Drosophila melanogaster: one gene and its partner. The protein of the gene in region 2 interacts with the protein of the main gene of each other region in a pairwise test. Each region holds a gene or a part of one and is shown on either strand. Other genes may lie near its edges.

Region 1 (4,758 bases), 590 kb from region 2:
CTGCCGGAGGCTCATGCCAGCGGAAATGGAACGATCGCCACGTGGGGCACTGTATCCGGCTTCCTGATCATGATGTGTCTGGAGGTGGCGCTGTCGTGAGGAACGAACGGCTCGCCTTCGCCCGCCTCGCAGATTTCATAATCTAGTGCTAAACTCAAAGATTCCACTGTACTTAACGCAAAACTCTGCTGTCTTGTAAATAGAAGCATGCTGTGTACAAATCTCAGAACCAGCCCTAAACGAGAATCTAATAATCTAGCGTAGAGTGTAAGTTTTGTAGAAAGAAGCTTGACAACCAGCGATGCCGCGACGACATCCGTGCAATTGTGTATCTGTGCACACGTATCTGTACAGCATTCCCAGCGAGTTATGTAAATGAACTGTTCTAGGAAAATTTGTAAACAAACGTGCATGTGAATTAGGTTTTAAGTTGTCACCGGCGTCCAGTAGCTTGTGTCTTTTTTAACCGTCTAATGTCTAAGTAATAAACTAAACGAATTCAAATGAACATCTCTCAGTTGCACCCACTCGCTTTTTTCCCTCACAAATGTAGCTGTCTCCGTCCGGACAACTTCCTGACCGTTTCTTTGGCCGTACGATAGCTGATAAGGGCAAGTAAATTCACTTAGATAACCCGGAGTGCCAACAACAACAACAGCTGGTTGACTCGCTGTCAGCCAGTGATAAGTGATAAGAATCTGTCCGACACGAAGAGTTCCCAATATTGCGCGTATTCCGTGTTTGAGATACGTGCAGTTTCAGACGGCCCGCGGTCCTGCGTTTCTGTTCGCCATTTTCTGGATTAACTAATCATTTCAGATATGTATGTTTGTACTCGCACAAGTGCTTTGGGCCACAGTCCACCCACTGTGATCGTGGTCATCAGGAAAAGTGGTCGATAAGACCTCTTGCCGGCTATCTGTTGTACAATTTCCATATAGTTCTTTATGTGCGCCATAAAACCATAAACTCGGTATGAATGGCCTATTAGTTGGGGGCATATCTCAAGTGGAGTTAATGCTTCTGTGTCCGCAATGCCATAAATTGATAGTGTCAACGATTAGACTAATTAAAGACCTATTTCTTTTGTAATCGAAGTGTAAGTTAAAGCTGCCATTTCCAACCAAAATGTAATGCAGAGTTGATGAACTCGAAAGTACATTGTCGTCTTAGATCTGATAAAGCTTTTGGGAAGTTGTTAGGCCTAACAAATAATGATATGATAAGAATATTAAAAGTTGTATGAAGACCTTGATAAGTCAACTTTTAATATCTACGTACATACAAGCCTATTTTTGCAATGTGTTATTGGGTATTTTGCAGTGAGCTTAGTATTATGAGAAGGCAAGCTAAATTATAAAGCCGAATGGTGACAATTAAAAGTTATCTTCTTAAGCCCCATTTATCCCCATTTGAATATATAAATAAGATCGATGATGCAACAGAAGCCACAATTAGTAATAACTTACCGGCATTTTGCCAAAGAGCTCGGGATACTCGTACATGCGTATATTGCTGATTGGAAATTGCTTGGGATCGCATATTTTCAGCTGCACCTTGCAAGCTTCAATCCACAGAATGGAAACGACTGGTATATTCCACTCGGTGGCCTTTTTATAGGTGGAGAGCAGGCCATCCTTGAAGACAACGTGTGTGGTGGTTCTACAAGCCAAACGAAAAATGTTTAATTGAATATATTTTAGTCAATCAATTGTAATCCCTTAGCTTACCGCGTTAGGCGATCTTTGACCTGGGCTCCCATCTTGGCAATAATTGATTTTACGCCCTCAGAGCGATTGTCGTTTCCAGTTCGCACCTCCACATATACGACTATGTCCTTGAGCAACTCGGGGAGGGAGGGCGGCTCCTGGGGATTGCGTTCTTCCATCGTGATGATGCTTTGTTCGGCTAAAGGCACATCGAAGGTATTGTATGCCGACTTGGTGGGGCTTCTAAAAATGTATACAATGTAAAAGCGAATGCATTTTTTTTATTATGATCAGTTTCTTCTCAAATCAGATTAGATTGCATTGCAAAACAATAATTAATAATAATAATAATCAATACTTGGTTTTGGCAAAAAAACCTGGCTTGTTAATATAATAGTTATTGATGGATATGGAATTATTAGGGATTGCATCTAAAGAATCTAACTTTACAAAATTAGCGATAAAATGGCTATAAAAGGATGGATTAGTCAAGAATCTGAGCTGTTTTCACTAGTTGACCTTTAGGTTGTATAAATAACAATTGCAATAACCAATTTTTGTCCTTACTTTAATGCACGAATGGCGCGTAATCGGAGTGCAGCGTTGGGGCTGTTGAGATCTTGCTGCAGTCGGGCCCAGTGTCCTTCCTGCCTGGTTGGCGTGGCTGCTCCGATGGGTGGATCTGGTTTTGCTGCAGATCCTTCTGCTCCCGCCTCGTTCTCGTCCTGGTGGAACTCGGAGCGGTGCTGGCTGATCGCTTTGGAGACGGCTAATGCCGGCTTGAGCATCAGCCGATCCCTGGCCGCCTGGTCATCTAGCAGGAGGGAACGCAACTTGTTAGTAATGCTCGGTTCGTTTGTCGACATGGTAATCTGTTTTTTTTTTTTTTTTTTGAATACTACGAATTTTGGGTGAGCTACGTATCCGGAACTAAAACTACTGGGTTGGGTGTTCAAAATGTAAAATAGGCATGCACAGCCAACCTGCCGGGGCCTGGGATAGAGATTTGGGAGACGGTGCCGCTGCTTTGGACCTGAAGTCGCCCAGATTTGAATCGTGCAACGGTCGGCGGGTCGATGACGCCGCTGTTTTCTTGGCAGCTGCGGCGGAACTGGCCACGACCGATCCGTACGTCTTCGTCTTCCACGTGGGATTGCGCAACAGAAACTTGTCCATGGTCACGGGCTATGTTCTCCGCACTCTGGCGCTCCTTATTGCAATGAAGTCGGTCGCAAAACTCTGCAAAAGAGGCGCCAATAATTTTCTAATCCAAACCTCACAAAAAGTGCAACACAATGTGATAGTGTGACCGGGTAACCTCAATGCTACAAGATCACTCACTGGCAATCGGTTATCGTTCTCACCGAAAATCGATTGTTTTTATATGGTCTCCGTTTAGTACATTAAGATTTTAGTTCGATGACGAATTTGGCGGCATTTTATTATGTATTTAATTTAGGAGACAAAAAATCTTGTGATAGCGCAGGTTTACTTTTCACCACCAATGTTTATCTTAGAAAGAGGCAAAGCAGTTTAATAAATTTTAAGTTCCGATATTTAAACACAATTAGTAAATGCAAAAATGTCGGAAAATATATATAGATATAGATATGTTTAAATGTTCTCGTAAATGAAAATCAAACTACACACAATTATACAAAATACCTTTATTATTCAGTTTCAGCAGCGTAGATTGTAACCCGTTTAAAGTAAAACACTTATATTGACTTTCATAACTCTTTTTTAATGCGTACTAATATCGATTACATGTTTTTAATTTGATCTTATTTACATATGAAGTGTATGTACAGAAAAATAATAAGAAAATAATAAATTGAACTTGCCTAAAGTAGCAATTAATTTGCATATGACATTATCTGCCCCCATCCTGAATCTCAGCCAAACTCTCCGTGCGCTTATCGTGGGCTCTAGGACATTCTCTCAGTCTTAAACGATTTAAGAAACTATGGCAAAATTTTAATTACTCATTACAAATTGCATAATCATTAAATCTCTCTGCTTGACTTAAAGTTAACTGCGGTTAATTAGAGTTAGTGCGTATTAAGTGACGTACGCTAAATGGCTGCATTTCGCTGCATTTATCACAAAACTGAGCGAAATGCACTCCACAGTGATCCAGTGAATCGATGATCCTTCACTGACCAAACTTAATCGTAGGCTTTGACTAAATAATTTTAGAATTAACGCTAGACGATGAATAAATTAGGGCCAGCCAAAGTGATCATTCTGAAATGGCGAAATGTTCTGATTAACTGAGATACACTTAACAAATTAAGTGGTCACTTACCATGTGCGCTGATCAGACTACGTGCATCCCAGAGGGACATTTGCGACTGGGAGAGACGGTGCTGCGGTGGATACAGTTTGTAGGGGAAGTACGAGTGGTGGAATGTGGCAATGGGAATGGGTTGCGCCGGCTGCAGGAACTGCTGTTGCTGGTGCTGTGCCGAGATCTTCCGCGAGATCTTTGGCTCCTTCTTGGGCTTGCTGGCTCCTCCAGGGCACGGCTGCTTCGAGGACTTGATGAAGTTGGGAATACGCGCCAAGAGTCCGCAGTAGTACGGATCATCCTGCTTCTTCCGCTGCTGCGACCCGCTGCTCTTCTGTCGCTTCTTGTCCGCATATATGGGCGTCAAAGATCCGCCAGATTCGTAGTCGGGCTGCAAAGTGTAAAAAGCAAATAAGAATTATTAGGCTAAGTTTTTTTTCCCAAACAGGTTAAAAGGTTTGAAGTCCCAAATTTTTCAGGTAGAATGTAATCTAGGTTAGAACCCACCTTGGGCACATATGGACCCTCGTTGAGGAAGGCGGCACTAAAGATGCTGCGCCGTCCCTTGCTGGAGTTGCTCGAGTGCTGGGAGTTCTGGGAATCATCCGACGCGGCGGGCGTAGGATAGATCAATCCCACTTGGCTTTCGATGGTGGAGTATGGATCCTCGCTGCTGTTCGTCAGCGGCACTCGCATGCCCATCGCATCCAGTGACTTGGGAATCGTTTGGAGGCGGCTCCTCAGCATGTCCATGGCCAC
Region 2 (7,619 bases):
AATGTTATACATTTCATAGGCATTTATGCGGAAATTGGTTCAACATTTAGCAACAATATTGTGGCGGATTTTTGGCGAGCTGTTTGCATATGGTGAGATGTCTAATATATGGGGCACATCAAGAACGATTGTGGTTGCATTGTGTTTTCAACGATATATTATGCTAAGTGGCATTCATGCGTTCACCTTTATCTTTAAGATTCTACTAAACGTAGAATTTTTACATTTAATGATACACACTTCTTAACCCATATCTTAACATTTCTCAACCAATTCGTTTCTTAAAAGTGCATATAAATGCAACAGTTGAATTCCCTTCGGCAACATAAGTGGCTTGCATTTTTTTTTTTTTGCTGCATCACGCATACGCAGCGTGTGCCGCGAAGCAGCATGTTGCATGCTCAATATGCGCGGCATGGACTGTTGCTTCTGAGTCGCATTATTATTTATGGCCGCATGCCGTGAAAAATGTCAGTTGGCGACAAGTGTTGTTCAAATGGCATGCACGGTTGCCACAACAACAGCAGCAGCAGCAGCAGCAATAATGACAAACCATACGGGCATACAAAAGCATTTGGCGCTCAATTTGACGTGAAACGTGTGGAAACCGAAGGAGAACTTGGGTACGGGGAAACTCAATACAAATAGCTCTGCCTGTCCTTTGTCGTCGACATATCCTTTTGCCACCCACCAGTGCCGGCGGACCGAACACCCCAAACCCGAAAAACCGGAGAGGGAAAGCCACAGAAAAATGGGCAACGCAACGTGGAACAGGCGAGCAGCAGCGAGCAGAAGTAACCACAGACATCAGCAGCTAAACAGCCGAAGTGCTGAGTCCAAGCCGAAGGCTGGCCCGTTCGGTTGCCAAGGCAACTTCGTCGGGTTCACAACAAAAGGATAAGCCAAGCCAAAGTCCTCGGGACAGGACGACCAGCCAGCCAGCCAGTAAACTAGTCAGCAAGTCAAGCCGGAGCTCAGTTGCAGCAGCGCAACGCATTTGCCCAGACGCACAACTCGCGGTTCGCGGCCAAAACTAAGAGTTACGGAAATAGACTTGCCTTGGCCATCGATCGTTCTACCAGTTACACTCAGAAAAAAAAAAGGCTATAATGGCTTAAAGTTTTAAATGCATTGAGTTATGCAAACAATGTGGCTATGAAAAAGTGTTAATTCCTTAGAAAGGAAAAAATCGTATCGAATTCCAAACCTCTTTGCAAGTTCATGATTATAGTGCATTAAAATAATATATATATGTACATAATACTACATAAATAATAACATATGATAGATAAAGGTGACGCAAATTTAATTTCAACTGTGAAAACTATTAAAAGAAAATAAATAAACTTTAAGAAGATATTAATGAAATATATCCTCAAACTTACTTAATCCATAAATTTGTATGAAATTCGAAAATAAATATTTAAACATATGACAAGTCAAGGAAACTTTTATAAAAAAGTATTAAACTTGTGTTTCGTTTAGTGTTTGTGTTAGTTTTAGTCCAAAGTTTTATGTTTGACTCGGTGCTGCTGTCGTGCTGAAGTCGCCGTAGCCTTCGGCTCGTCGATTTGCGAGGGCTAGCTCCTGGCAGTCGCCTTTCGTCCTTGCTGCGGTCTAGAGCCGAGGTATTCGCTGTTAGCCAGGCTAGATGCGCCTCCTTCGGGGCTGAAGTGTGCGTGCTAATGGCCATGTAATGAGTGCGCCGCGCTAATCGTTATGCAATCGCCGTGGCTCGATTTCCACTCGCAGTGAAATGTCTCTCAAACGTTATGCAACTCTGCTGGCCTTTGGTCAAAATCAGAATCAGAATCACACAATCCCGGCCACAACAATATCGCTGGTTTCCACAACGGAACCACCATTGCCGCCATCATCATCTTCGTCAGCGTTTGGAAGTTTCGTCAGCGAGGAACAGCTGCAGTCCCAGGAGCATGTCTCATCCTCCTCCTCGATTGTCACACACACCACCTACTACACCGGCGGATTGGGGCAATATCACCAGCAGCGCAGTGGCTCCGGATCCGTCATCTCGGGCGTCGGTGGCGGCGGAGGACCTAGTGGACCCCAGACATATGCAAATGTTGTCAACGGCAATGTGAATCTGCTGCTCGGCGGGTAAGTCTGTCCTGCCAGTTGGAACATACGACTGATGCGAAGTTCAAGCGATAAGTTAAGTCACCTTTTGGCCCGTGGGAAATGCGAAAGAGTGTCTGGAAGTTTTGGCAAATAGCTGAGCATTCCCCTCAGTCATTTGGCAATTAATTAATTAGAGTTGCCAAGAAAGTTCGCCCAAAACAATTGGCTTCGCAGCTAACGAGAGCGGAATTGTTCAAGTATTTACATTTTAAAGAAGCTCTCTTCAGTATTTTTAAAGGATACCGCAATCATTTCATATAGATAATTCATACGAAATGTGGCTGTCATTCCAGCTAATAGTTTACTGCCACAAGTTAGTTTGCCATTCAATAATCAGAGCTAACCACTAAGTTTTCGTTCGACAACAAGGAGCATCTTGAAAATTCCAGTGAAATGTTTGCAGCAAGTACCCCTTTGGTAAGAACACTCAAGAAGCATATTACAAGATACTACCATAGATCATAATGCCTGGCACCACTTGATTTATGGGAAGGAGCTGCGAATTAATAAGCATCAACAGCAAGAGAAGATGTCAGGCTTCCGCTCTTCTGCGCTGAAAATCATAATTATAATTGTGCCGGGGCATTTTTTTACTTTCGGTTTTGCTTCGTCGAAACCCTAGCATCCTAGCACTGGCTTTGCTTGTTAATAAAATGTAAAAAAAAAAAAAAACTTTCATGTGCAACACGAGCTATTCTATTTTTTCGGAGTAACCGCAGAGCAACAAAGAGGTTTTGTAAACACGCTTTTATGGGGTTTTCTTAGTGTCTGCAAACATCACGCGCGACCCACACAAGCCAAAAAAAAAATTTATTTTAACTACTTTTTTATCGATTGTCTTGGGCAGTTCATTGAAAATAGCTAAAATAAAAAACCGGAGTGGGGGAAATCGCTGTTGTCTGTTTTCGTCGCTGCGGAATGGGAAGGCCGGAAAAGCTGAGCCCCCCAAAAAAAAGGGCCCTAATGAACTGTTGACATGCGAGAAATTGCGTGAACCGGGAAAAATGAACAGCCAAAAAAAAAAAACAAAAAAAACGAGCGAGAGAAAAATCGGAGGACGTACGTGGGCCAGTGGAAGACAGTGAACAGACAAGTGGGACACAATGTTGCATTCTAAAGTGGATTAAGTGACGTCATGGAAATGCCTGGAGCTACGAAATCGACACGACACGAAACCATTTCCGACCAAATAAACCAGTGGGTTTCAATAAACCGACATAAATTGGCCGACAGCGCTAAAAGGAAAATTTGATAACTGGCAATCCAGTTGATAGTGGTGGGGTCATTTCGGATTTATTGACGAATTAAGGAACAGATAGAGCTACACCTTTCCGAATTCACTGATACCAGCTATGGGGAATTTGTTGACCAAATTTCAAGGCATATTGTGTTTGTTTAATAAACAAAAGCACTTGACATAATCTGACTATTCTAAGCCACCTAACGACAGACAATTAAAATTTGATAAATCCATAATATTAGCTCTTTAGACAAAAGGCGAAATGTGGAATATTATTAGGCTAACACACACATTCTCCAAGCCGATTTGAAATGTGTGTGTGTGTGTGTGTGTGTTTGTGGCAGCTTAGTTAAATCGAGATAATTGGCAATATGCTCTACATTTCATACTTGCGAGCATTGAAATTGCCCTTTGTTTGGCTGCAAGATGAGTTGGGAGTCGAATTAAAAGCCAAAACTGCATTATCTAATTAAAACCGAGAAGGCAAGAAGAGTAATTTCCGCTACCATGATGTATAAATGTCAATATTTCGTGGCAAATTTATGCTATCAAAATGCTGGCAAAGCCAACCCAATATAAATAAACATACAAGCACTAGCAATTTGTATGGCAAAATTAATAAATACCGAATGCGTATTAATACGTTATTATCGCACTGGTCATTTATCGAAGGCCCGCAATCAATTTCGTGTCACCAGCCAAAGCAAATAAATATGTTTGAATGTTGGCCTGATGTCTGTTTCGTCGTTGGAATAACATTATAACATTCAATGAATAGCATTGCATTCACATCCCCGTTCGATTTAATTTGTTGCAGAGCAATGCTTTCCCTGGTGACGACTATATTGTGTGTGGTCTGCTATTGTTGCCATCGCAACATCAAAAAGCGAACGGAGGCCGCCTACAGGCAGCAGCAGCATCAGTGGCTCGAGGGCGATCCCAACATGGAAATATACAGCGTGGAGCAGGTGAGTTGGAGGAGCTAATACGAGTATATGCTCAAAGCCTATGCATAGATGGTCCATGATGCCCGGGGTTCTGGCAGAGAGCTTTGTTGTCCACCCAGCCATAGTTGCAAACGGATGTCAACGGCATTCCAAGTGGATGATAGTTGGGCCACAATGGAAGTGGACGACGGACATCATTGCTTATTCGGGGGAAACCAGAATTTTATTAATCATATCCAGTAATGGCAGTATGTGCTATTTACTTCTCTTTGGTGGTTCAAATAAGTAGCACACATTCCAAACGTGTGTGAAAAATGGGAGAGTAAGTCTGGCTCTTAAATAAATAAAGTTATACAAGTCCTAGGCTTACATTAACCAGATTCAAAGCATGCTAAATACCTAAATGAATGGCAATTTATCAGTGATTGGCTTGTCAATTTGCTTTTGTCAATACGAATACAATTTCAAAGCGATCAAATGCTAAAAATCAATTAGCGACTATTAAGTTTAAGTGCTGGCTGAAAAGAGTGCAAATATATACATATATGATATTAAGCAAACTACACAACAAACTTTCCAAGCAAACAATTTAGTTTTTTCGATTTCAGCTTTCAGCTTCAATCAAATCAGCCCAGTTTTCCAATTGGTGGCCGAAATCACAATAATAATAATAATAATATCCACCATTCTGATGTTTTAGGCATTTGGGCGCTAGAACAACACACAATCCGGCCATAATTGTCCCTTTTCAAGTGTAAGCCAACATTTCGTGGCGACAGTTTGAAAGTAAGTCGAAAACTGAAAGTGCGGGAGAGGATGGAGCAGCAGGAGTGTAATGGATATTTATGCGCCGCATTTAACAGGTGCCACATCCGGGGGAAAGTGGGTTCAGTTGACCAAAAGGGCGCGACAATTGCGGCTGGCCATACAGCCAGCCAAGCCAGTGCAAGTGGCCCAGAAGTCGCACTCACTTGGCCGTGCTCTTTATTAGGTTACGAGCCGCCTTCCCATTCGGCCCACAATCCACCGACCAACCCGCAAACCAACCAAACAACCATCCAACCACCCACCAGCCCCACCATAGGCCATCATTCAGTTCATTGTTGTTTGTTGGCCCGCTGGGAAAGGGGGGTGGGGGGAAAGTGGCGGCAAAAGGCTCCACGTAAATCAACGTTAGTCTGGCCAGGCACAGATGTCAACTGCGGACAGAAGAAGGCGGGTTTCTAGCACGGGAGCATGGGAGTGGCAATAGGAATGAGAATGGGATTGCAGATTGCGCGGCAGAGACAAATAAATTTATGATGTGTGCAATTTAAACTTTTTATTTGATCGCGTAAATTTCACTTGTCCACCGCGTCTCCATTAAGAAAGTAATTTACAGAGCGACCAAGCGGAGATCGGCAATTAGTCACGACCTTGAGAGTTATATACCAGCTCCACATCAGGGAAAAATTACATTGCTTTTAGAAAATCAAACCTTACAATCTTTGCAAATTCCTCTTTTATCCTCCTGCTAATCGATTTTAATTGTTCGTTTAATCCCTCAGTGCTACGAGACTTCTGGCCTGTTCCTAGGCGACTCCACTGATGGTCTGTCCGCCGTGCCCGCCTTGCACCACGAACCACCGCCCTCGTACGATGCAGTGGTGCTGCACGAACAGCAGCTCCACCAGCAGCAGCTGGAGCAACAGCAGCAACAGCAATTACAGCTGCAACTGCAGCAACAGCAACAGCTGCTGATGCAACGCGTCTCGCCGCCGCCAGGATACCGATCCTCGTTGGACATCAGCGGCCAGCCGGCAACGAGCTTCGGTCGCGGCACACCAGATGGCAGTGTGGATGCGGTGGCCAGTGGCAGTGTGCAGTGCGCACCAGGAGGTTCCAATGGCCTGCTGGTCAACAAGCAGTTGCAACTGGCCCTAAATGCCCAATCCTGCTGCTCGCTGCAGCGGGCCGAGGTGGAAAGCATGTGGAATGCTGCTGCGGCGGCGGTGGCTGCCCGGAACGGAAATTGCCTGGAAATGGAGACGCTGCAGGTACGTAAGCCGGCACAGAATGTCAGATTGAACACCTTCGGACGGCGGTACCTGCAGCAAAGCCATCAGCATAGTGCAAACCACTACCGGCGTGGCTGTCCGCTGTGCGGCAAGTTCCGCTATGAAGGTGAGGTCGATGATGAACCACTGACCGCTCTGTCCGTGGAGAGCGGTCTGAACATGGGCGGGCGCAGGGAGGAGGATGAGCCGTCTATCTGCCCCTGCCCCAGCGACATCGACAATGGCAATGGCAACCACATTTCTGGTGACGATCTGCAGGATGAGGCCAACGGCAATTTTCTGGCCGCCACTCTCGATGAGCAACCTCAAAATGATGCCGTGCTCTTTTCCATAACTGCTGCCAACGATGAAAACGACAACGCAGCAACATCGGACACACCATCAACTTCCGACGCACCAGCAACATCCCACGGGCAATCGGGGGAGGATGAGCTGGCCACAGGCCAGCAGAAGGAGCAAGAGGAGCAGAACTTGGACAACATCAACGAGAATGGAATCATCAGCCTGGACATGAGCAAAATCATCGATAGATCGGGGCTGCCCACATACGAGGGTGCCATCAAACTGGAGTCCAGTGGTTATGTGTGAGCCTAACAAGCAGTTCACATTAGTTGTATGGCTGCAAACCGAAACCTAAACCACAATCGTGCTTTAACTATGATTAAGATAGGTTGAGATTGGTGAATTCATGTGTTATTACTGCAGAATAAGAAACTAGTTTAGTTTTCAGTTATTTCATTGAATCTCAACCACCTAAAAAGATGGCTAGAATCTTTCTTTGATATGCTATGAAAAGCACACTTACTTTAGGTGTTTTTGAGTTAAAAAGGTTGACAAAAATATCACGCTCTCAGTACAGAGAAAATAACATTTTAAGCAAAACGGATAACAATAATTTTAACGTTTAAATGTTTTAGAGCTAAGCCAGTGCATATCCCTGTAAATGTTCGTGTCAAGTACTCGTATCAATAAAATCAAAAATTGTAATTGAACGCAACAAGCGGTTTAATAAGCAACCTCAATCCGCAACCTTCGCCTTATTCCACGCGAACAGTTTTTAGTTTAGAATGCTCGGCTGGGCGCAATCCGATTGATTTTGCATTAAAAACGGAGGCGGGAAACGCAGGCGGGATGATAAAAAACGAAAGCAGAGCAAGAAATGGCATGCAAACAAATCGCCAAAGCCAACGTCTAACAAGCGGCAAGAAAACAGCAACACCACCCAACCGCTCGCCG

The links. Proteins that work in one complex are often made in the same cells at the same time.
Region 1: the proteins of s-cup (region 2) and MCPH1 interact in a two-hybrid assay, tested with the Drosophila melanogaster proteins (one large-scale study listed by BioGRID).

Annotation. Positions count from the first base shown.
Region 1 is NT_033778.4:11,900,889-11,905,646, forward strand, and holds the start of MCPH1 (microcephalin), read right to left. Parts: upstream 3,031-4,758; 5' UTR 2,886-3,030; coding exon 2,693-2,885; intron 2,651-2,692; exon of another isoform or gene 2,576-2,650; coding exon of another isoform or gene 2,524-2,575; coding exon 2,277-2,523; intron 1,953-2,276; coding exon 1,731-1,952; intron 1,663-1,730; coding exon 1,470-1,662; intron 507-1,469; exon of another isoform or gene 100-506; coding exon of another isoform or gene 1-99. Other genes in the region: Zip48C (Zinc/iron regulated transporter-related protein 48C), read left to right, coding at 1-99; reb (rebuf), read right to left, coding at 3,952-3,956, 4,018-4,390, 4,507-4,758.
Region 2 is NT_033778.4:12,494,082-12,501,700, forward strand, and holds s-cup (stanley-cup), read left to right. Parts: upstream 1-1,590; 5' UTR 1,591-1,756; coding exon 1,757-2,118; intron 2,119-4,196; coding exon 4,197-4,347; intron 4,348-5,873; coding exon 5,874-6,971; 3' UTR 6,972-7,378; downstream 7,379-7,619.